Linked DNA regions of Lytechinus pictus. The protein of the gene in region 3 purifies or fractionates together with the protein of the main gene of each other region. This does not show direct contact. Links are inferred from orthologs where the notes say so. Each region holds a gene or a part of one and is shown on either strand. Other genes may lie near its edges. The genes, in order: protein AATF-like, THUMP domain-containing protein 1-like and RNA cytidine acetyltransferase-like.

Evidence for each region.
Region 1: the proteins of RNA cytidine acetyltransferase-like (region 3) and protein AATF-like purify together in Homo sapiens (affinity purification with mass spectrometry; 3 studies listed by BioGRID and IntAct, with this or other methods). This does not show direct contact. The link is inferred for Lytechinus pictus from reciprocal best matches to the Homo sapiens genes NAT10 and AATF.
Region 2: the proteins of RNA cytidine acetyltransferase-like (region 3) and THUMP domain-containing protein 1-like purify together in Homo sapiens (co-immunoprecipitation; 3 studies listed by BioGRID and IntAct, counting the BioPlex papers as one, with this or other methods). This does not show direct contact. The link is inferred for Lytechinus pictus from reciprocal best matches to the Homo sapiens genes NAT10 and THUMPD1.

Annotation. Positions count from the first base shown.
Region 1 is NC_087250.1:8,038,653-8,047,372, forward strand, and holds the start of protein AATF-like, read right to left. Parts: upstream 3,468-8,720; 5' UTR 3,449-3,467; coding exon 3,319-3,448; intron 1-3,318. UniProt on the Homo sapiens protein: Part of the small subunit (SSU) processome, first precursor of the small eukaryotic ribosomal subunit.
Region 2 is NC_087254.1:17,882,210-17,890,480, forward strand, and holds the start of THUMP domain-containing protein 1-like, read left to right. Parts: upstream 1-4,602; 5' UTR 4,603-4,671; intron 4,672-8,271. UniProt on the Homo sapiens protein: Functions as a tRNA-binding adapter to mediate NAT10-dependent tRNA acetylation modifying cytidine to N4-acetylcytidine (ac4C).
Region 3 is NC_087253.1:12,147,436-12,155,588, forward strand, and holds the start of RNA cytidine acetyltransferase-like, read right to left. Parts: upstream 3,312-8,153; 5' UTR 3,247-3,311; intron 1,398-3,246; 5' UTR 1,357-1,397; coding exon 1,249-1,356; intron 668-1,248; coding exon 576-667; intron 1-575. UniProt on the Homo sapiens protein: RNA cytidine acetyltransferase that catalyzes the formation of N(4)-acetylcytidine (ac4C) modification on mRNAs, 18S rRNA and tRNAs.

The DNA.
Region 1 (8,720 bases), on a different chromosome or scaffold from region 3:
ATGGCCAATATGGGAGACTGTCTCCCATGAGAGAGAATTTGGGTATCCAATTTCAGCGACATTCTCCAGTTTGGGGGACCAATCTCCTTTGTTTACATTTGCTGCAAAAGGATTACCTTGGCGGCAAATAAAAATGTGATAGGCAGATTCCTCATGAAAAATTACTCCTTTTCACCGTCTATTTTAAAAATTCACCGTCTACTTTTGTTTCGATAAGGATATTTGTTGTTATCCACACACAAAACAAATGGGCTTCTGACCTCAGCGAGACAAAATTTTGGGTGGAAAAAATAACGCTTTGGTTGGTGTTGTTTCTTTTGTTCTTTTACAAAGCAAGTCTCCAATATCAGAGATGCCAACTTTTGGAAATCAGAATTAGGGAGGATTTGCAACCGACACCAAATTATGTGCGCGTAGCGCACATCTCGAGCGCGGAGCGCTCGACCCTTGCGGCCGGGGTCGAGGGCCCGCCTTAGGGCCCTGGAAGCTCTGGGTTTCTAGATGCTCTCTGGTGCAATCTGACCCTTATTTTGGAGCATTTCACATGTTTTTAAAAAAACATTGTTCCCACTTTTTTGACATAAAAATAAAAATATCAAATATGCATTTTTACATGTAAAAAAAATGAGGGGACAATAGAAGAAAAGTAGCCTACCTTTTCAACTATAATAATGAGGAATTATCCTCTTTATTATTATTAAAGCGCGGGTAACGTCTTCCTCCTCGCTGGTCCCTTGCTTGGTGAAATAAGTCAACAGGGTATACTAGTGGAGCTCGAAGATCTCGTCTTCGCAATGTCCGTATGCCGTTTGTTCCCTACGTGCTTCCGAACATCATCACGACCTCCGTGCTCAACTTTAATGTCCACGCTGCAAATTGTGCAAAATGCATGGTAGATTCCTCTTTCCGACTTCCGAATACACGGGTACTGGAGACTGTATTCAGTCTTATACTTCTGAGACCATTTCTTGGTCTTTTTTTGTTGATTTTCCGCCATTTCGTGTCAATATCAACCCATCAATACGCCGAAATCACACACCGATATTCCATCGCACCACTCGACAAATCCAGCGGCCGCGAGCGCACACGCCTCGCGAAGCTAGCCGGGCCTACCGGCCTGGTGCACAGTGGATTCCCGTTGGGCATATCACATGCACCAGCTTTTCGCTGCTCCTTATTTGTCTGCCTTTCACACAGAATTTAGTAGCAGCGAAACGTAATGGAGTTACTACATGCTAAAGTTAGCAGACGATACATGTACTTCCAATCCAATTTGATCAATGCAAAAAAAAATCGTAATTTCGGGAGGATAAGGATGGTAATCGTAAGGGCGGGAGTTGGGATGAATTTTCGGGAGCCTCCCGATGAAATCGGGAGGGTTGGCATCTCTGCAATATGAGAGATTGTCTCCCATATTGGCCAGTAGAGGCGCATGGCCAATATTGGAGACTGTCTCCAATGTGGGAGATTATCTCCAATATCAGAGACTTTTGTAAAGAATTTGGGTATCCAACTTCAGAGACAGTCTCCAGTTTTGGAGATCAATTTCCTTTGTTTACATTTGCTGGAAAAGGATTACCTTGGCGGCAAATAAAAATTTGATAAGCAGATTCCTCATGAAAAATTACCCCTTTTCACCGTCTACTTTAAAAATTCACTGTCTACTTTGTTTTGATAAGGATTTCTGTTGTCAATCACACACAAAACAAATGGGCTTCTGACCTCAGTGAGACAAAATTTTGGGTGGAAAAAAAATCATGTTTTTGTTGGTGCTGTTTCTTTTGTTCTTTTACAAAGCAAGTCTCCAATATGGGAGATTGTCTCCCTTATTGGAGAGTCTCCCATATTGGCCGTGCGCCTCTGACTGATAAGCAAACCGACGCGCCTACACAAATTTTGTGCATATCCGCGAGAGCACCACTGATTAGTGCGCTATGGCCGTGCCTACCACAACAAGATTAAGTAACAATTTCAAATAACAAAAAAAAAACATTATCATTAAGATTCAAGAATTCCAAATCACACACACACAGCTCAGCCTCAGCGCAGTTTTGGCTTCGTACTCACTGGCCAACTTCGAGATAGATCTGTTTTTAGTGTTAGAACTAATCCACCAGTCATGCCAGTAATTGATCGCAAAAGTCAAAGCAAGTCTCTTAATCAAATTCGCGATTCTAGCCAGGCGCCCGACACTCATTCAATGGACAAGGTTATGATATAACCTTGTTCTCTGTTATATCTCCATGTGTGGCAAAATATTGAGGGTGGCAATATTTGGCTTATTTTCTCTTTTTCTTTGGGACAAATGCTTGATTTTTTTTACAGAGTTTCCATTACACCTATTCATCATACAACTTGGCTCTGCGCTCTTACGTAAATTTGATTCTTTAAATTATTTTTTTCTGAATTAAAATAGAGATTGAAAAATGAAAATTTTCTTGCCATATTACTTTCCACCAATAGAGGGCGTACACAAAAATATCCCCAAAATTCAAGTTTTTGAACGCTCCGGTGAATACAAAAATTATTCCCAAGTTACTGATGTCATGATTAATGAAAAATAAATTACCTTGTAGGCCTAGTTTCAATCAGTAGAGGCGCTGGTCAGAAAATTGGGATCGTCCCAGTTTACAGGGACTGTCTCAGTTTATAAGGATTTCTTCACACAAGAAATCTAGGAAAGTTCATTCACCTGTCAAGTGCCGACACCAATCAAGTGTGCTAGTCAATGTAAACATATCGGGTTTCATAACAAGATTATTGGAAGACAGTAAGTCATGAAAAATAGACGGTGAACTGGGGGGAATTGAGGTCACTGAATCTATTTTTAGCACTCTCAATTCCCGTAATTGCTGTCTTTGTCCCGTAGGGGGAAGTGAAAAAAAAACGTCCCCATAAACAAGGACAGTCTCAATTTATCAAGACATGATTTGTCTTGGTTTATGAGGATATCCTTGTTTTCTGGGACAATCCCAATTTTTGGACCAGCGCCTCTACTGTCAATCCCTGAAGTACTCCACCAGGAAGGGTAACTGTATGGAAATTAATAATTTTGGTCAAAAAACTGATATTTTAATGATAGATTCCCCACAGGCAGGATGGTTGCAGTGAACAAGTGGCGCCTGCGCCTGAGAGCTCCTGGCCAGTGTCTTCGTTTGCTTGGCTTCGCCTTCGGCTGCTACTCGCGGCGGCGTGGCTCCCCGATAATCTCGGTTACACAAAATGACATGTGTGGGACTGAAATGACACACTGCTCTTTAATGGCAGTATCGTATTATCTATATAGAACAATATTTATTCAGTAAATATCATACTCACTTTCATCCCAGTAATCAATAGGATCATCTACAGGTGTAGGATTATTCAAAGCAAGAATTTGCTCTGAAAGCGTTACTTGTTTGTGTTTCATTTTTCGTAGCTTGTGAAATTTGCTTTCCCACACGAACATGCATTTAAATGCTGAATGTAGCACACGTACGTGTACTGTGCAACTTAGCACCGTATCTTCCAAGAGCAAGTTAGAAATGGAATTATTTCTCATATTCAATAATACTTAAATATAGTTTGTTTTGTATATAATTATAGAACACGGTTGAGGATTGAAACAATTCGGAATGGGTGTCCACTCGAAGCCAACATTTAAACAATTTTTTTTTTTTGGGGGGGGAAGGGGGCAAGATTCGAACAATATTTTCTTGATGGACGTTTAATTTTAACTGTGGTGTGAATATCCTCAACCGCTGCATGGTACCCGGCATTTACCTGTCTAGGTGCGTACAGTATAAAAGGCTTGACCTCATTGGTCAGATCGTGTCATGAGGACGCGCACTATACTGTGTACATTGATCAATAAGTTCGCGCGTTGTAAATCGTGTACACATATTGGCATTTAAGTGCGACTTACGTCATCCCGGCTTAAATCTTTGTGAAACACCCCCTGGGTTCGCACTATGTGGGTATATTTCTTGCTGAAGGAAAACACGCCATGGCTGGGAATAGAACCCACATTCCTCTGATTGAGACGAAAGTCATAACCACTAGACCACACCCCCCACATCATTGTCTCATTTGCATATCACTGTATAGTTGCATCGTGGTTTATGAAAAATAAATGAAATTTCAAAATGTCATTAAATTCTCATTTTACATTTGATTTCGATTGAACTTATTAATGTCATGCTTGGCTGATTTTTCTCTTTTTATTCAAATAAATGTTTTGCTAGAGTCCATGGATTTCCATTTTAATTTAAACCACACCTCCCGCCAAAGTTCCCCGATGGTGAATTGCCAATTCGTCTACTGCCAACTCGTCCACTCAACACATGGTCTACTTTCATTTAGTCTAATGCCATTTCGTCTAACAACCATTTGGTCCAATGACCATTTGTTCCAATCATCACTTCATCTAATCACTATTTCGTCTATAGATGACCATTTCATCTCATAATCAGTTGGTCCAATATCCGTTTTATTTTCATTCATTTTGCACAATTAACACTTGGTCCAATTAGACCAAATGGTATATGGACTAAACAGTTATTGGACCAACTGGTTATTAGACAAAATGGTGAGCCTAGTAGAAGAATTAACAATCATGTGGATAGTGGACGAACTGATGGTAGACCAAATGAGAGTAGACGAGTTGGCAATATTGGACGAACTGGCATTGGACCAATTGGAAATAAACCTCCCCCAAATGCACCATGTTGGGCAACAACAACAAGAACAAAAGAGTCATAACAAAGTAGAAATCACATCAAATATTTATTCCTCATTTTCACATTGTCATCCAACTAGACCGTCATCTGAACGAAATATACATAATATTTACTTGAAAGTATAAACAAAGGGTATAAAATAATTTATAGAGAAACAAAAGTAAGGCTTTCAAATAAAAACATATATGAGTTTTAGTCTGAATATATCTGATGTACAAATCCAAAGGATTGACTTTTTTAATTCTGTTTTTATTATTAACAAATTCAGCCAATTGCAAAATTGACTAAGGATTACTAAATGATTGCAAATCACACAAACACAGGACGGTCAATCCTTTGTCTTAATCACTAAATATTAATAACATTTCTTAAACAAATATCAAATAGTCATCTCAAAATACATATCTGCATTGTCCCTCCACACACACAAACAATGAAAGGAATCCATAAATGCTAAGATATAGAAGTGATCAAATACATGAAAATCATATAAATGGCAAAATGAATAAGCAAGCAGATAAATTGAATGAAATATTTGTCTGATAAAAAAATTGAAAAAATTTTCTGATTTGTTTATTATTCTAAAATTTTCCATGAAAAAGTATTAAATTGCATCATGCATCTTCCCTGATTGTAGGTGTTGTAACCAGTTATTTAAGTTGCTTAATTTCGATCTTCTTTTCAGTTAATACACAATATTTATGAGGCAGTGATTCTCTATATTTGCCCATTCACTGGCGGACTATATATTACCCGAGCTTCAGCTCCAGCTGTTAATATTAACGGTGCCTAGTGCATTGATGGAATTTATCGTGACCAGGTACCCATTCACCAGGGTTGGGCACAATTACAAGGTAATTGATCAATTATGTAAGTAATTACGTTTTATTAGTAATTGTAATTGTATTTGAAATTTTGAAAGGAAAAGTAATTGTAATTGAAAAAAAAATGCAATTGACTTCAATTACTGTCAATTACATTTTATTACTTTACAATAAACTTACTTAATTTATGATTTAAATTCATGACATTTTACATGTCAACTGCTTCAGCATCAAAGAGAGAAAGAGGCAGAATCGGTGCTCTTTAACACATAGTTTCTCTGTAACTTAGAATTATATTGAAATAGGTGGTGCTACGTACAGAATACAAATTAATTTCATTTATGACTTTTATAGAAAATAACTAAATGTAATTGTAATTGACAAAAGCAATTGGCAATTGTAAATGAAAAAAAAGTAATTTAATTGAAAAGTAATTGTATTTGAACATTTCTTCAATTACGTAATTGTTATCGTAATTGTAATTGAAGAAATTGAGCCCAACCCTGCCATGCACCTCACCTGGGTTGAGTGCAGCACAATGTGGAGTCATTTCTTGCTTAAGGAAATTACATGTAAACCATGGCTGGGATCTGAACCCATGAACCTCTGTTTCAAACGCGAGAGTCAGAACCGCCAGACCACAGCTAGTCTGCAAGCAGACTCATATTAGAAATTTTATGACCAATCATACCATGTCTAGATTGAAGACTATATGTCAAGCTCTCTGTCTGTGCCAGCCACAATACATAGTGAATCTAGTCTTACTATTTCAGACGCTATTTAATATGCACTATGCGAATTGCAAAAACCAAGTGTCTGTGCCATGCAGACTATGCCACCGTGGCAGCTGGAATGTTCATGTGCATGTAGAAAGGTATAAGTACAATATACATATTAAAATGTGAAAGCCAGTCATGATAAAACCTTATGCACGAGGTAGAGAAAGAAATAAAAATCGATGAGTTATAGAACATTATATTTCAAATCTTTTCTAGTTTAATACACGTAAGAGAACTTTCATTGCATTTTTTTTCACTTGCAAAGCCTGTCGGTCCATATATGCAAATACGGTAAATGATAAAGAAAGGGTAAAAAAATATAGATAAAAGTACTGCTTAATATCATACACAATACTACAGACACTTTTTCAACAAAAACAAAAAAACACAAGGCAGTGAGGGGGTGAAAAGTGTCACTTCTTTTCTTCCTCTCTAGGGATTGTCCCTACACTGCAAAAACTCTGGTGTTGATTTAACACCAGCCCGGAATCTGTATAAGTCCACACGAGACAAGTGTTAAACAACACCAGTTTGGTTTTGGTCTAACACCAGATACATGTAGGTGTTTATACAACACCAATTAGTATTAAAACAGCATCAGTTTGATTCCAAACTGGTGTTGTTTCAATACTTCTCTGGTGTGGACATATATATTCCGTGCTGGTGTTAAATCAACACCGGAGTTTTTACAATGTACGAAATAGAAACTATAGGCAAGTATGCATTTTAAGACAATGCATGACTACTTTATCTCGGTTGATTCAATACAATTTCTAGCAGTAGGGGAGACCGGGGTTAGTTGGAACATGGGGTAAGTTGAAACATTGTAATTTTCTTTAACGTCTTTAAATAAATTTCTGCAATACTGCCCTCAAGTTATTGTCATTATCAACGGCCATCCACCATATTACAGACAACACATGTGCAACAAGCCTGGTGAAGTTAGAAACAAATTTTTGTTTTTTGACCTTCTGAGTAAATTTTTTCTCGTTCAGAAATGTTTGATTATCTCAGAGAAGTTTACAGATCAAGTTGGCCAGTTTAGGGGTATAATAGACACTTATACCAAGCTACAAAATGAGGTTATTAATATGCCATGGTGAAGTCCCTTTTTTGTGCTGTAAGCTTATAAACGTCAAATGAGCCTCCGGGGTTAGTTGGAACAAAATTGAAGGGGCTAGTTGGAACATGTTCCAACTTACCCCAAACATAATTATGAATGAAAATATTGGATATGAGAAAAAAAAACAAAGTATTTCACACTCTTCTGAACATGTATTGTATACCATGCTTGTTTTGTTTATCAGTTAGGTCTGAGTGTGCATTTAAGGCCTATTGTAGGCACCTAATGCAATGTTAACCCTTATCAAAAGGGGGGGGGGTCAATTTGAGCCCCCCTCAAGAAATTTTGTCACTACGCCGTCGCACGAATTTTTTTTATTACACTGCTAGCTGACTTTTTACTTTCAAGTCTTGTGCATCATTTGAGACCAAATTTGTGATGCCTGTGTTTCAAAATTACGCAACAAAAATTACGCAACAAATTGTATGTGCATGTTCGGACCCAAAATTGTTCAAAAAGGTGATTCCATGTACAAGGTCAATGCAAATTGCGTTTTTCAACCAAAAGTCATAAATGTATGATTATTTTTTACTTTTGCTGGTTCACATAGATTAATTTTATGCTATTTATGATCGCAAAAGACTCCTGACAAAGTCCATCGGAGAAAACAAAGTTCGAAAAAAAAAAAATACATAAGAAATTATATTTTTTGCATTTTTTGGTGGATATTTGTTATAAATGTGAAAATTGATACTCTCACCAAAAATTCTACTAGCTTAATAAATATAGTTTAAGGCAAAAACATACAAAAAAAAACAAATTTCTGGAAAATTTTATATGCTTATTTGCATAATTAATTATGAAAAAAATAAAAACAATCAATTTTTGTCTCATAAATTTGATGCAGAAGTACATGAAATTGCTGATAGTACACTTAATTGCATGTAAACTCAAACGCACCCAAATATGCGGAATTCTACTACACAGTCTGCTTGCGTGAGTGGCTGTATAATAGAAAACATAAAGTTCAACGAATCCACACTTTAATATTTTGAACTTGAATAAGATAAAGCAAATAGGCTAAAACCATGTAATATTACAGTTTTAAGTAGTTTTAGTATAATTCTTAATTGACCATGCAGTGTTCCAACTTACCCCATACCATGTTCCAACTTACCCCGATATGGGGGTAAGTTGGAACGTTTGCGATAGTCTTGTTCAAGGTGGATTTTTTCAGTAACCATAATAGAGTTAAAAATTTTATGGGGTACATTTGAAGCCCTGAGATATATGCTTCAAGCTGATATATTTATTGTTTCTCGAATAAAATCTATTT
Region 2 (8,271 bases), on a different chromosome or scaffold from region 3:
AAAAGCACTCATCTTTAATTTTTACACCCTTTTTTACTTTTTTGGCTGAAATTTGTATTTTTCCCTCTAAAAAAGTACTTTTTGTTTCAAATTAAAAAACAATGTGGTTGGGTAAAGGGTTATGTAATGGGTCATTAATACATGACACCACCACTAATATCTGACTCATTCATTATTAGCCTGGGGCGGTGGCTCAACTTGCCCCTATATGCTCAACTTACCCCGCCTTCCCCTACGGATATCGGTATGGTACGTATACCCATTTAAAATGTTGGGCAACGTACTGTCCTCTGTGTTGGGTATGGGTAGGCCTAATCCCCATTTATTTTTTTTGCTTGTCAAAAATTTTTGGTGGCCCCCCCCCCCTAAACCTAAATTTTCTGGCTTCCGCCGCCAATGGGCCTAACGTATGTTGGTTAAAAAGAATATATTAATCCTGGACAATTTTTATTCAATTGAGCAAATTTATTATACCTAATCATTGGTTTGTATTACCCAATTTGGGCAGATTTTAACCAATAGTTATGTGGACAGTATTGCCCATGCAGGGATGGTTGTATCATACAGCTATAGCTCTATGGTTATATTAGTTGGGCATTTTTTGCCCAACGTACACTTTTCTTGAAGTTATTTATAGGCCTATACTAGTATACTTACTTGAGTCTTGGATGAATAATCAATTCCGACAACAGCAACAATAAATCATTACATTATAATAAGCAAAGAGAAAAGAACAAAAATCGCAGAAAATATCCTATGACAGAACATGAGGCCACTCTATGAAACTTGCCAAACCCAAGTTGATCGTTGTGGCGTGTGCCTGAAATCCATGCAAGCTATGTGGGGAAGTTAAAAATTGATGCAGAGGTTCGAGTCCTGGTCACGTCTTTCGGATGGTGACGTTAAAGGTCGGTCCCATGCAGTCGTAAATCTGATTGACAGATCTCCTTTTTCCTTTTGCTCTCTCTTTCCTTCTTCCATTATTTTATTTCTTTTTTCATTCCCGCTCTTCCCTTCATTCGTTCCTACCTCTCTTTCATTCTTTATTTTCTTCTTTCCTTCGATCGATCGTCCCTCATTTTTTCTTACTTATTTAATTTTTCCCCTTTTTCTTTCACTCCTTCATTCATTCTTTCACACATTAACTAATTTCTTTCCTTTTCTTAATTTCCTTTATTCAAAGAACGAAGGAAACTTTTTTCTTTCCTTATTTATTCTTTCTTTCGATCGATCTAGTATTCTTTAATTTTCCTTCTTTCTTCTCCATTCTCTTTTCCCTTTTCTCTCTCCTTCATTCTTTCTTCACCCATTTGTTCACCCTCTCTTTCTTTCCCTTTTTTGCTTTATCTTTGCATGGCATTTCCTTATTTCTTTCTTTAATTTCTTTCTTTCTTTCTTTTATTTCTTTCTATCTATCTTTCTTCCTTCCTTTCTTTCTTTCTAAATTCTTTCTTTTTTAATTCTTTCTTTCGTTCTTTAGTTACTTTCAGTGATTCCCTTTTTTATTTTGTGCCATGGACATATACAAAAGTGGCATGAAAATATATATGATAGGGGAAATTAATCAAATGGCATATTGAGACTAATTTTAGTCATGGCAGGCAAGATTAAATCACTTTGGAAAAAAATATTACAAATACAAGGTACACATTCCAGTTCATGTTTAAACGAGAGGAAAAAAGCAATATGGTATAAGCCTGCACTTTTAATTTTTTTTGAGCGGTGAAATGTTTCGAAAGAGTTTTCCCAGGCAAGTGAAATATATTTTCATTTTTTATCAAGGTACGCCACTGTTTAGGAGTCACGGTGATCATTGACACAAAGCTGCAAAAATTAATCCCAAGTTACTAATGAAAAATAATTGCCACTATAGGGAAATTAGTATTTTTGGTCACAAAAGTGTTATTTTAATGATTTTTTAAAGTGTGTGTTGTGCACTGCATCGGCATACCATATTCTTACCTGGTTGCAGTGATTTGAGCAAGTGCACTAGTATGGCGTGGGTCATTTTCAACAAAGACGCTCAAACATTGACAAATTTAGGGTTGCTTTGGCTGAGCATTCTTGGGATGAGGTAATGCGTGAAGAGTCATGTGACAAACTTATGATGTATATATTCATCAATGAATTTAATACCATACACAATTCGTGTTTTCCTTTGAAAGAAAAACGTTGTCGAAAAAGAGAATATAAACCTTGGATTACAACAGGAATACTCAAATCATGTAAGAAGAAACTAGAGCTTTATAAAAAAATATTTGAAAAACCCTTCCGAGTATAGGAAAAAGGTATACAGATATTATCGAAATACATTAACTTCAATTATTAGAAAGACAAAGGAATATTTTTATACTAAGCAATTTGAAGAAAGCAGTTGCAGTAAAAGAACATGGAATATTATCAATAGTATTTTGAATAGAGGTGCAAAAAAAGGAAATCAGGATTGTTTTAGTGATGGCAACAATAAAGTTATAGATCCTGTTGAGATTGCAAACAAATTCAATGAATACTTCATAAGCATTGGGACAACATTTACAGATATAGGTAATACTGACTTGCGGAAGTGTAGGTCCTTAATGAATGGTCAGTACCAACAGTCAATGTTTCTAAAACCAATCCAGGGCCATGAAATTATAGACATAGTAAATAAAGGCATTGAAAATAGGTAAAAGCCCTGGTCATGACAATATAACAGTTTCTATCATCAAAGAATCTCTATATGGCTCCACTGGTACATATTTTTAACCTCTCACTGTCCACAAGTACATTTCCTTCTCGTATGAAACTGGCAAGGGTGACTCCGATCTATAAGAAAGGCTCTTCCGACCAATTTTGTAATTATAGACCGGTGTCTCTCTTGCCTGTCTTTTCTAAGATTTTGGAAAAACTGTTCTATTCAAGATTGTTGGATTATATTGAGAAAAGAGGAATTTTAACAAATTTCCAATATGGCTTTAGATCTGGACACTCAACTTTATTAGCCTTAACACATTTTTTTGATCAAATGTGTACTTCTCTTGATGAGAGCAAACATTCCATATGTTTATCATTAGATATATCCAAAGCATTTGACTCAATTAATCATCAAGTCTTGTTATCAAAACTGGAATACTATGGTGTGAGGGGTTTGTCATTACAGTGGATTAAGAATTATCTAAAAAACAGAAAACAGTATGTTGTTTATAACAATTCAACTTCATCTAAAAAACAGCTGACTTGTGGAGTACCCCAAGGGTCAATATTGGGGCCTTTGTTTTTCATTGTATATATAAATGACCTACCAAATGCATCCTCTGCTTTGTCATACATTGTTTTCGCTGACGACACTAATGTGTTTGAAAGTGCAAAAGACCTAGGTACCTTAATACAAAACATGAATAAAGAAATACAAAATGTAAATGATTGGTATAAAGTGAATGGGTTAAGGATAAACATTGACAAAACAAATTTCATGCATTTTGTCCCATGTAATAAACAATATGATAAGAGCTTACTTTCACTTAAGTTTGCGGACTCATCAGAACCCTTAAAGCAAGTGAGTAGTACCCGTTTTTTGGGAGTTAGTATTGATGACAAATTATCATGGTCTTTACATGTTAACGATATCGCACTGAAGATATCAAGAATAATTGGCGTTATGTCATAGCTGAAATCTGTACTACTATCAAATGTATTACTCTTGTTATACAATACCTTGGTTCTACCTCACTTACAATATGGGAATATGCTTTGGTTGAATGAATCAAATACATTGTTAAATCGATTATATCTGTTGCAAAAGCGTGCATTACGTATAATTGGTAAAACTCATTATCTGGCTCACACAAAAAACCTTTTAAAACAATTTAGAGTACTAACTATATATACGAATTGTGTAAGTTACAACTTGGAAAATTCATGTACAGGTCTGAAAAGGGATTACTACCAAAATCACTCCAAAATTGGTTTAAATGCAATAGTGATGTCCATTAATTGTCATAATACTCGTAACTCAAAGAAATGACATAGCATATATTTCAGGACCACTACAGCAGGACAGAGAAGCAATGGAGAAGTGTGAAGTATCAGGGCTATCTAGTATGGTCTGCTTTAACATCAAACAAAGTCCGTCATTAAATTACGGCAGTTTAAGATGAAATACAAAAGTTATCTGTGCAATTCTAAATAATCATTAATCAAAATCAGTGTGTAACTCGTTTTAATTCCCTTTTTTGTCCCCCCCCCTTATTTCCATTAGGTTGATTTTAAAGTGTTCACTGGAGGAGAGAGCTACTCCAGGAGCTTAGTTGGTCACGGTTAGAGTGCCTAATGCCTCTGACCGTACGTGCTCCCGGGGTGGGCCTCTCCTTCCTTCTCGTATTCTCCATTTCTGCCGGGGCTAGACTCGATAAGCTCTGCTTTTTCTAGCCCCGGTCACATTATTTACCATCGTATTTTAATTTTGTTGTATGTTTTTCTGTCTTTTATAATTGTGTGTATTGGTTTTTAATGTGAAATAAATGAAATGAAAAAAATGAAAATGAAAGAACTGTCTTTTCGTTTTCGTTTGTCATTTGAGGTCACAGTACCGGTACTGGTAGTCAATTTACTCACTCAGCTTACTTCAGTTCATTCATTCATTCATACGGCAAACACAGTCACTGGTCACTGCAGTGCAGTTCGTCAATAAAGGTAAGTAGTTGCAGCAAACAATTATTTCATGAGGAAGTTAATTGTCACCATATCTACCTAGGCCTATCTACATCTTGTACTGTAGTCTGGTTGCATTGCCGACCATGTTGACTTTGTGAATTAACGTTGTTACTTTAGTTTTACTTAGCTCAAACAAAAGACACTAACACAAAAAAGGATACGTGGGACAGTAGACTATATTTGCCAACACATCTCAACCTACGGGTACATTACCGCCGCCGTGCACAGGATAACCACTGGCACGGCACTTGCAACACCTTTAGCTTATTATTTTTAAATTAGCAATACATTACAGATTTCAAATTAGATAAACTTTGGAGTTTGGATATGAAACTTACCAAACGATATGATGAAGCCAATTTCAATTCCTCTCTGTCTTTCTGGTACTTTAGTCTTGACTTTATATCGATGATTTTTCTTGATGTCGAAGCAGGCATGGCCATGGGGCCGATTCGCTGGTTCTCTCTATACGCACTGAGAGGGCGCGCGATATTATTTAATAAACTTGCTTGTTTGCATCGGGGAAATAATAAGATGGCAAATATAGCGATCTTCAACGCTTATATATAAGCGTCGAAATTTGTAGCCATCTCCTTGTATTAGTCTATAATATACGACGTGTCAAATTGTAGCGAACTAGTTCGCCATTTCCAGATCTCCTCTATATATATATATACGAGGGGGAATTGTAGCGAACTAGTTCGCTATTTTCCAGATCTCCTCTATATACAAACGACGGGAAATTGTAGCGAACTAGTTCGCTATTTTTCGGATCTCCTCGATATATACACGAGGGGAATTGTAGCGAACTAGTTCGCTATTTTCCAGATCTCCTCTATATACAAACGACGGGAAATTGTAGCGAACTAGTTCGCTATTTTTCGGATCTCCTCGATATATACACAAGGGGAATTGTAGCGAACTAGTTCGCTATTTTCCAGATCTCCTCTATATACATACTACGGGATTTGTAGCGAACTAGTTCGCTATTTTTCGGATCTCCTCGATATGTACACGAGGGGGAATTGTAGCGAACTAGTTCGCTATTTTTTTATTTTTCCAGATCTCCTCTATATATATACGACGGGATTTGTAGCGAACTATATACGAGGGGGCATTGTAGCGAACTAGTTCGCTATTTTTTTGATCTCCTCTATATATACACCAGGGGGGAATTGTAGCAAACTAGTTCGCTATTTTTCGGATCTCCTCTACATGTATACGACAGGAAATTGTTGCAAACTAGTTCGCCATTTCTCATCTCCTCTCTAAAATATAAACATGGCAAACTGTAGCGAACTAGTTGGCAATTTTTCTGATCTCTTCATATACACGAGGGGGAAATTGTAGCGAACTAGTTGTCATTTTTTCCAAAGCTTACATTATTGTGAAGGCTTCAAAGTGAAAATCTGCAGGTTTTGGCTGTATATATTGATGCCATATTGTCAAATTGTAACAGACTAGTTCGCTATTTTCCAGATCTCCTCTATATATATATACGAGGGGGAATTGTAGCGAACCAGTTCGCTATTTTCCAGATCTCCTCTATATCCATACGACGGGATTTGTAGCTAACTAGTTCGCTACTTTTCGGATCTCCTCTATAAAATTATATACACGAGGGGGAATTGTAGCGAACTAGTTCGCTACAATTCCGTCTCTTGTATATATAAAGATTAGAAAAATAGCGAACTAGTTCACTAATTCCTCCTCGTGTATAAAATTTTATAGAGGAGATCCGAAAAATAGCAAACTAGTTCGCTACAATTTTCCGTCGTATATATAAAGAGGAGATCCAAAAAATAGCGAACTAGTTCGCTACAAAAGAAGAGATCCGAAAAATAGCGAACTAGTTCGCTATAATTTCCCGTCGTATATATATAAAGAGGAGATCTGGAAAATAGCGAACTAGTTCGCTATGATTTCCCGTCGTATATATAGGGAGAGGAAATCCGAAAAATAGCGAACAAATCCCGTAGTATGTATCTAGAGGAGATCTGGAAAATAGCGAACTAGTTCGCTACAATTCCCCCTCGTGTATATATCGAGGAGATCCGAAAAATAGCGAACTAGTTCGCTACAATTTTCTGTCGTATATAGAGGAGATCCGAAAAATAGCGAACTAGTTCGCTACAAAAGAAGAGATCCGAAAAATAGCGAACTAGTTCGCTACAATTTCCCGTCGTATATATATATAGAGGAGATCTGGAAAATAGCGAACTAGTTCGCTACAATTTCCCGTCGTATATATATATAGAGGAAATCCGAAAAATAGCGAACTAGTTCGCTACAAATCCCGTAGTATGTATCTAGAGGAGATCTGGAAAATAGCGAACTAGTTCGCTACAATTCCCCCTCGTGTATCGAGGAGATCCGAAAAATAGCGAACTAGTTCGCTACAATTTCCCGTCGTTTGTATATAGAGGAGATCTGGAAAATAGCGAACTAGTTCGCTACAATTTCCCGTCGTATATATATATAGAGGAAATCCGAAAAATAGCGAACTAGTTCGCTACAAATCCCGTAGTATGTATCTAGAGGAGATCTGGAAAATAGCGAACTAGTTCGCTACAATTCCCCCTCGTGTATCGAGGAGATCCGAAAAATAGCGAACTAGTTCGCTACAATTTCCCGTCGTTTGTATATAGAGGAGATCTAGAAAATAGCGAACTAGTTCGCTACAATTCCCCCTCGTATATATATATATAGAGGAGATCTGGAAAATAGCGAACTAGTTCGCTACAATTCCCCCTCGTATATATATATATAGAGGAGATCTGGAAATAGCGAACTAGTTCGCTACAATTTGACACGTCGTATATTATAGACTAATACAAGGAGATGGCTACAAATTTCGACGCTTATATATAAGCGTTGAAGATCGCTATATTTGCCATCTATAAAATACCGTTTGCATCGTTGACGTCAGATCAGCTGTACTGCCATGACTGCTGGTTGCGTTCTAGGCGCTCAGCATTTTTTCGCTGTTCACCGTTATTTTATGATGTAGCGCCATCAGCGATTATACGTGACATGCAACCTGTTGATTTTTGGTACAATTTCCTATTATGCGCCGGCGACTTGAATCTAGACTGTTCGATAGGAAAAATTCGCATTTCGATTGTTGTTTGCGTAATTTCCACCGCAGTATGGAAAGCAAGTCACGTTGTTCCAGTTTACAAGAAGGGAAACAAGTCTGAAGCCACTAATTATCGACCAATAAGTTTGACTTCAGTACCCTGTAAGATCATGGAGTCGCTGATCAGAGACAAGATCGTTGATCATCTGATGGAGAATGAACTAATCAGCGATTCCCAACATGGATTTGTCCCAGGTAGATCAACTGTTACACAGCTGCTCCAGACACTAGAGGACTGGACATCCTTACTGGATAAAGGTGAAAAGGTTGATGTTGTCTACCTAGATTTTAGAAAGGCCTTTGACAGTGTACCCCATCAACGTCTTGTGGCAAAACTAGATGCATACAACATTCAAGGGAGCTTCAAAACTTGGATTGCTGATTTTCTCAGTGGCCGAACCCAGAGGGTAGTTGTAAACAATGCCAGATCTCAGTGGTGC
Region 3 (8,153 bases):
GAAGAGGGTACTGTATGTTGAAGTTTGCAGTTGGTATGTATGTCAAGATAACATTTGTAGTAAGGTAAGCCAAACTTTTTTTATTGGTTGTATCTAATATCCAGTTCTTTTTGTCTGTAGATGGTTGCCATCATCAAAGCTCAGTCCATCCCTTTATATGTATTTCATATATGTATTCCTTTATGGGATTGGAGGGCATTTTAGAAAATATTTTATTCATGTTTGAGGCACGAATCAAACTTTAACAGAAATAAATGCTGCATGAAGTACTTATGTACTCTTTGAAGACAAAATTGCTTATCTAAAGTTCCTAAATAATTACTTGTATTCTGGGGGTGTTTCACATGAGTTAAAGGTGACCTGGAGTCACACTTAAATGTTGCGTGCGGGATACATGTAGAAGGCATGACCCTATTGGTCAAATGAAAGAGGACACGCACTACTGTGTATTAATCAATACGATTGCATGCTATATCATGTGCAGGTGAGTATTTAAGCATAACTCTAAGTCCCACTTAATTCTTTGTGGAAACCCCTCCTGATGTACAATGACATATTCATCATCAATAACCCACCTGCTAAATCCTAGTTCTTTCTTGTAACACCATAGTACAGATGGCCTGGCCTTCACCACAGCCTTGGATAACATATGATGTAGAATCACAACCTATACCGTATATGACAAGAAAAGGAATAAAAAGGAAATACAGAGAAGTGAGGTTCTTTCAAGCTCACTTGGTACAATTATTGAACTACGGGCTGGCTGAATAAATGTTGAACAAGTTTATTTATTAAAATTTGATCTTTCTCTTTTGTATTTTTTAGTTCATTTCATTTTAATTCATTTTTTCATAAACCTTTTTGGGACAGAAGGCAACTGCCATTTATTATAAGGTTAGCCTTTTTTTTGTCCCCCGGCATTCCAAAGAAATGCATTCTATAATTGTCAGATGTAATTTTACATTGTATTTCTTTTGCAGAATAAAATGATAATTATAATAATCTCCATTTCACAACATTATTTTGTTGTTTACTTCATATTATTGCATTTTGGGGCTCAAATGACAAGAAGGAAAGGGGAAGAGGGTAAATACAAATCAAAGTAGGAAATTCGATAGGCCTATAAAATTAATTCTAAATTTTTTTTCAAAATATTTCATATAAAAGTTCAGATATCAAGATTATCAATAGAGCACATGAGTCTATGACAGGAAATCTACTATGTCAACAGCCCCTTGGAGAACTAACCTGATCTTTGCCTTTGTCTCCTACAACCACAAACAATGACCTATGACCCTGGGTCACGCCGTTCTCTATCTGTACTCTGATGCGGTTATCAATCTTCTTGCGAACCATCTTGAAAATCAACTCCTCGCTATGTCTTGGTCAAGCAGTCTCTGCAAAATATGAATAAATAGTCAAATAAGCAAGAGGACCAGCATTTAAATTATTTCCAATATAGAAATTTAATTTTCAAGTATCAAGAAAAATCTTCAATAACACTTTGACGTATATTTTTAAAGTAAGATGTATTTTTTGTTTTCTTTTATTTCTTTTTGATAAACCTTATTATTCTGCTAAATTAAAATGAGAAAAAATAGAAATGGAGAAGACAAACAAGTGGAACGCCTCTGGCAGTCTCGCCTGCATTACGCAATTTAATATAGCAGCAGTGCTAACTTTGAAAACTACTATAAAATAATCATTCATATAATGACATAATACCACGTTCATTGACCATAAATGACATTTGAACGGAGACTTAAGACTGTCAACTACACCCATGTCCACATTTCATTCACTCTATCCATAAACTTTCAAAGTTATGATGGCACTTCAACAATTACCCCAACATGGCCTAAGTTTATTAACTGACCTTTGACTTGGTTTTGTGACCTGAAACTCACAGGGGATGTTCAGTGATGCTTGATTACTCTTATATCCCAAGTTTTATGAACTAGATCCATAAACTTTCACAGTTAGGATGGTAATTCAACAAATACCCCCAACACGGCCAAAGTTCATATGCGCAGCGCATGATTTTCCAATTCCAGGACCAGGCCTTGTTTCTGTTTACATGCATATTATAACAAAGTGCCTCTGACGCTTTTTTTAGAGGGGGTCCGGAGAGCCCTACCCAAAAGTAAAACCCCGGATTCTCAACTCGCCCCGATTCGTAGACCAAAAGCTTCAGTCTCTGTATTTTGGTTGTTCCGCTGAACTGCGTTGGCTCACTGACCAATACATAGACTGAAGAGGATGGGGGCCCTTACCTACAGCCAACGTATAGTGAAGTAGCGTTTTATAGATCGCGATTTAGAACTGTTTTTTAAGCAAATTTAAAAGTTTCATGGTTTCTATTATCAGGGAAATATAAATAACTTAAGTAATTGCATACCTTGGGCCAGAGTTATTGAAAAAAATCCTCTGGATGATTGAGAAATCTGTCATCTAAGACATTTTCACCTGACCTGACGGTTTTTCTTGCAAGTTGCCATCTTGAATGACGTCATTATCGTTATTAAGTTTTTAATGTCTCGATATATCGCGATTATAACTAGTATCGTTTATCTTCGTGTAGTGTATCGTATCGTATAAGGAGCAGATCGTATAATATCGAAAGCAATATCGATATCACATTCGTGATTGTTGACGCCCTCTCCGTTCGTTTGTAAATATTTCATAGTTTGGCTGCCATTTTGACCATTTTTATCGTGTTCAACCCAATTAAACATCGGTAAAGTATAATTTTCATGCCTTTTCATCTATATCGTTTAAAGTATTTTGATAATGAAATATCAAGTTTTAAAAGTTTGTTGGTTATACATCCTTAGATTGTAAATTCGATGTGTAAAATTACATCAAACTTTGGACTGTGAATTGAGGTCAAAAGGGAGGGAATGAGAACACATGCGAGCCCACACGTACACCCTACCGTCGGTAAATGGGGATTACAGTAAAATGTCAGAAATTGTTGAATAAATCCCCAGAAACGACGGTTATTCCTGTCTACCCGATTCAAAGCTCGAGCTCCAGTGAGACCGAGTTTGATTAATGAAAAGCACGCAGATATAAGCGCATGGGACCAAAGACAATTCCTCGCTCTCATTTCACACTCTGTAATTAACAACAAATGTCAAAAATATCAAGTTTACAACCATCCAACAAACCAGTTCAAAATTATATAACCACATATTGCAATTTTTACATTCAAACCATGAAATCAGTGAAGAATGCCGAACTTACATGAATAACTTGCAGACGGAGCAGACTCACGCACGTGTATTGACAAAGCGCCCTCTGTTGTTGACATGTTCCAATTCAATTCAGATGGGATGACGTGAAACGTAAACTTGGCCGGTCTACAACTTTCTACTTTGCCTTTGCCTTCAATGATTATTATTTCATGTCCTGGTTTCATGTAGCACAGTTTATAAACAAATAACAAATTCATGTCTCAGATTCACATCTATCGGAATATGATAATAATAATTTCAGATCTGAATAAAATTAGTGTACCTTGATTCTAAAATAGTCACATGAGACTCTCGATTCTGATTGGCTAAAAGTTTATAACATCTTACCGACCCAAAATGGGGGAGGGGCCGTGTGCACAATCCTTTCGATTCTGGTTGGCTGAAAGTTTTACAATCTTTTTACCAGCCAACATAATGAACGCTGATTGACTAAAAGTTGCTGAATATACCGTGGCGCGGGTGGAGATGCCTTCGAACATCGACTGGCTAAAGTTTTAGAGAATCTTCATTTGGCAAGAGTGTGGGTAAGAAATGTAATGAGCAAAAAAAAGGATGCCATAGACATGTCGTATGTGGCGATTTCTCACGAGCTGCGATCGAGAGAGGGAATTAACTTTTGCCATTTTTGATGCGAAAAATCTATATGATTTAGTAATAGGTTTTGACACAATATTCAGGAATTAGCATTTAACCCAGTTCCCTTTCCTTTTATTTTCTCCCTTTTATTTTTGGTCCTGAGTCCTGTGAAAATCGGGGGGGGGGTCCATGCCCCCCCCCCCCCTAGACACACACACACCATGTACGCGTGGAGTATTCAATAAATTTTTACTGATCGATATTTGTAGCACTGGCGTATACAGATGGAGAAATATCGGAAGGTATATTTTTTTTCAATGTTACAATGTTTTCCATGTTTTCAATGTTCACAAATACCCTAAATTACACTTAGTTTTCAAAATGTCTAAAGTATTGCTCAAGTTGCTTTGTTCGCTCGGAATTTTAGATATTTTTTACCACATATGCCATATTGTATCACCTCGCTATATATTTTCCCATTCCGCTAGTGGTTGGTTCAATGTAAGCACTTGGGTGTAGGAGACTATCAATTTAATTAAACTAATAAATATTAAACACTAATTAGAGACCACTTAATGGAAGAAGAAAGCTATAATGTGTATCTCGGGCCCCTCCAACACGCCGGCCTTTTACGCACCTGTCCCCCCCCCCCCCCTGCCACTACTCTCGGCATCTAGTTTCCTATTCAATGGCGCAATAGCTGCTAAAGGCGCTTGATGGTGCATTCAATGAATTAATCCTGCCGGGTACCCATATTCAATCACCTTACCTGGGTTGAGTGCAGCTCAATGTGGATAAATTTCTTGCTGAAGGAAAACACGCCGTGGCTGAGATTCTATAACCCACGTCCCTCTCATTGAAAGACGAGATTCGTAACCACTATAGACCACGTACGACGCCCCCACTTTAGAGGTGCAGTTGAGCAGGGGCTAGAGGGACTTAAGCCCCCCCCCCCACGTAAAAGAAAATGACCACAAGGGGGGGGGGAATATGTATACATAGCTTGTATACCGAATGTCTGCTTCAAGTACTCTAAATTAAAGATTAAATATCATGCCATTCAAATTTTATAATTAACGCTCCCTCGCAAAATATAAATTCAGAATGCAATGATTCATGCTCTATCAAACATGACAGAGTGAGAGTATAGTAAGCCAATGAGTTCCCTGCAATACACTTCCGTTTATACCCAGCTGTTTGATATGAATCCTGTGCCCCGTCTTACAAAGAGTTGCGATTGATCCGATCAACCTCCTCAAGTATATGGAAATCCATCAATGTCATAATTTTTTCTATAGGAAATTTGCACAATGTCCTTTGTAAACAAAAAGAAGTATAGTGAATTTTCAAGAAAACAATGAATGCATGAATATACATCATAGAAAATATTTTGAACAAACATGAATAATACATGTTGACGTTGCTGGCCGTCCATAGCTGCGATTGATCGGATCAATCGTAACTCTTTGTAAGACGGGGCCCAGGTCAACAGTAGATAATAAATGAGAAGTAATTTTTTCTTCAGATTAAACCCCCTCCTCTTTCTCCTACTTCTCCTCCTCCTCCTCCTATCCATTCACAAAATTATTTTAAACCATTTTGTCTAATTTAGTAAAAATCGCTCCACATCTCTTACAAGTCATGATAGTATTTTGCTTCTCTCTTGGGAAATGGCTTGATCGTTTTAATCTCCCCGAAAGGGGCTAAATTTATTTTGAAATTGATTTTATATTGATTTGACCCTATTTTCTACAGTAATTACAGACTCGTGTGTTATATGCAGATTGGTAAAGCCTGGAAGCCGGGGTGTAATAATTTTCTTTTACAGTGGTCTATTCATCTTGAAGAGAATCCTATTAATGACTATGAATTTATGTATGTTTAAATTTGTTTTGAGGCTCGCAATAACTGAGTGCTCCGCCCAATGCTATAAGTTTCACTTCAGGGTCCCATCGTATAAAGAGTTGCGATTGATCCGATCAATCGCAACTATGGATAGCCAGCAACATCTAACATGCATGTTCGTTCAAAATATTTTCTAGAAATGACGTATATTCATACATTCACTGTTTTCTTGACAAATATCAGTATGGTTCTTTTTGTTTTCAATGGACATTGAGCAAATTTCCTAAAGAACAAAAATATGACAATGATGGATTTCCATATATATGAGATTGATCGGATCAATCGTAACTCTTTGTAAGACGGGGCCCAGAAATGTTCTCCTTGATGAAAATCCCTTTTTAATTTTGGTAGGGGGTGTCATTTGCGTTAAAACCCCATTCCTGCAATACCATATTGAAGTTTAGCTCTTGAAAAGTTGAATCCCAGAGGAGGGGGGGCACACAAATTATTTTTTGATGGGGTTGTGCCTCACGAAACTCTGAAATGGGGGTCTAAGGAACTGACTAAAAAGGTAAAAAGTACAGGGTCTTGGGAACTAAATATACCACTGCACGCGGTGTGAAAAACAGGTTCGGGGTTGAATCTCGCGTATAAGCCCTGGAGAGGACAAGCCCCTTCTATAATGCCAGCGCCTTAGTTGCTACCTAATATCGCGACACATGGAAATGGGTGATGCTTAATAAATACATTCTCAAGCAGTGTGAATACATTATAGATTGCAGGGATTTGCAGGTTGACTGATCAAATTTTGGATTTATTTTTAATCCTAAAACTTTCAAATTCAAATCTCGAGGATTTGAATTTATATCCTTTATGATTATAAATTCAATATTCGGGTTAACACTGAATCCAGAATTCGATTGGTCCCTAATTACATTACGTTATATATATATAAATCCCTGCGATTTAGAGTACAGTTGATTTTTTTTACATTCGGTCGCTGCGCTTCCTCCCTTTCCATTTTTACCCTAGTTAATGCAGTTTTATATTGATTTGTAATTGTCAGAGAAATTATTATATTAATCTAATTATTTTTTTTCACCAGGGGTCCCGCGAAAAGATTGACTATATACAGTCATAGCCAATCATATAAAGTTCGACTCCATTGTATTCTATCGAACCTTAATTGTTAATTACTATTTGTATCAGTTTATTAATTGCAGGGTCTCACATAAACAAGCGATGCATTCCAGTGAGTTTTTTTTTTTCATTTTTGTTATTTATATTCTGCTTTGTACAAGTTAATCTGTTTGAGTTTGAAATGAAGAGGAATTCACTTAATCGTATCAATCAATCAATCAATGTGTAGGCCCTACAGGCATAGCCAATCTGAAACGGAATACGATACCGAGTTCTATACATATAGTTTGTATTACATTATAATAACAATAATAATAATAATATGAACATTTGTAATGCGCCGGTATCCATCATAAAAAGATGCTCATGGCGCAATAAAGAAAAGAAAAGAAAAGAAAAGGAAAAGGAAAAAGAAAGGAAGGAAGAAAGAAAGAAAACCTACTAAAAAGAGGGGTAGAATAACAATTACCTAAAAGCTTGCGTGAATAACCAGGCTTTAAGAGAACTTGTGAAAGTGGTGAGACAAGAAATATTGCGGATTTCTATTGGCAGTTTATTCCATATAAGCATGTTGAAATGATCGATCCCCCCATGAATTATGAGATTGTGGTACAGCGAGTAAGAATGAACTAGAAGACCTAAGGTTGCGAGAGGGATTGTATGGAGTAATCAAGGAAGAGTTGTATTGAGGTGCAGTTCTGTGAATAGAATGGAAAACAAGTAGGAGGATTTTAAATGTAATGCGCTGTACACATGGGTGTCGATCGGTATTCCTGGTTGGGGGGGATGATAGACACAAAAGTTCTTGTGGATGGGGATCTTTCAACATTACCCCCACTAAAATCACAAGTTAAGACATTTGGGAGTGATTGATATGCATGGTGTTCTTGGAAATTCCTTCATTGTTGTAGTGTAGTGTACTTATATAATTTTTTTTTTTGAAAATTCAATTTGTGTTACAAGTAAGCCTATTCTAAACTCATACGAAAGAAAAAATGACAAAAGTTGTCTGGACCATAGTGATCTGTTTATTGAGCATGATGTATACACATGGGCGTCGATCCATTTTTCAGATAGGGGGGGGGGCAAAATCATGAATCAACGTTCCAAAGGCGCTCGATCATACAAAACGAAAAAACTCACCCATACACCCCTATATATATATATATATATATATATATATATATATATATATATATATGACTCATGAGAAAGAGACACATATCTCACTCTCACCAACAATGCGAGCGCGAAGCGCGAGCTGAAATTTTTTTGTATGACATGAAAACAGGAAAAATGTACCTGTTTAGGTTTGTTTGTAGTAACTCATGAGGA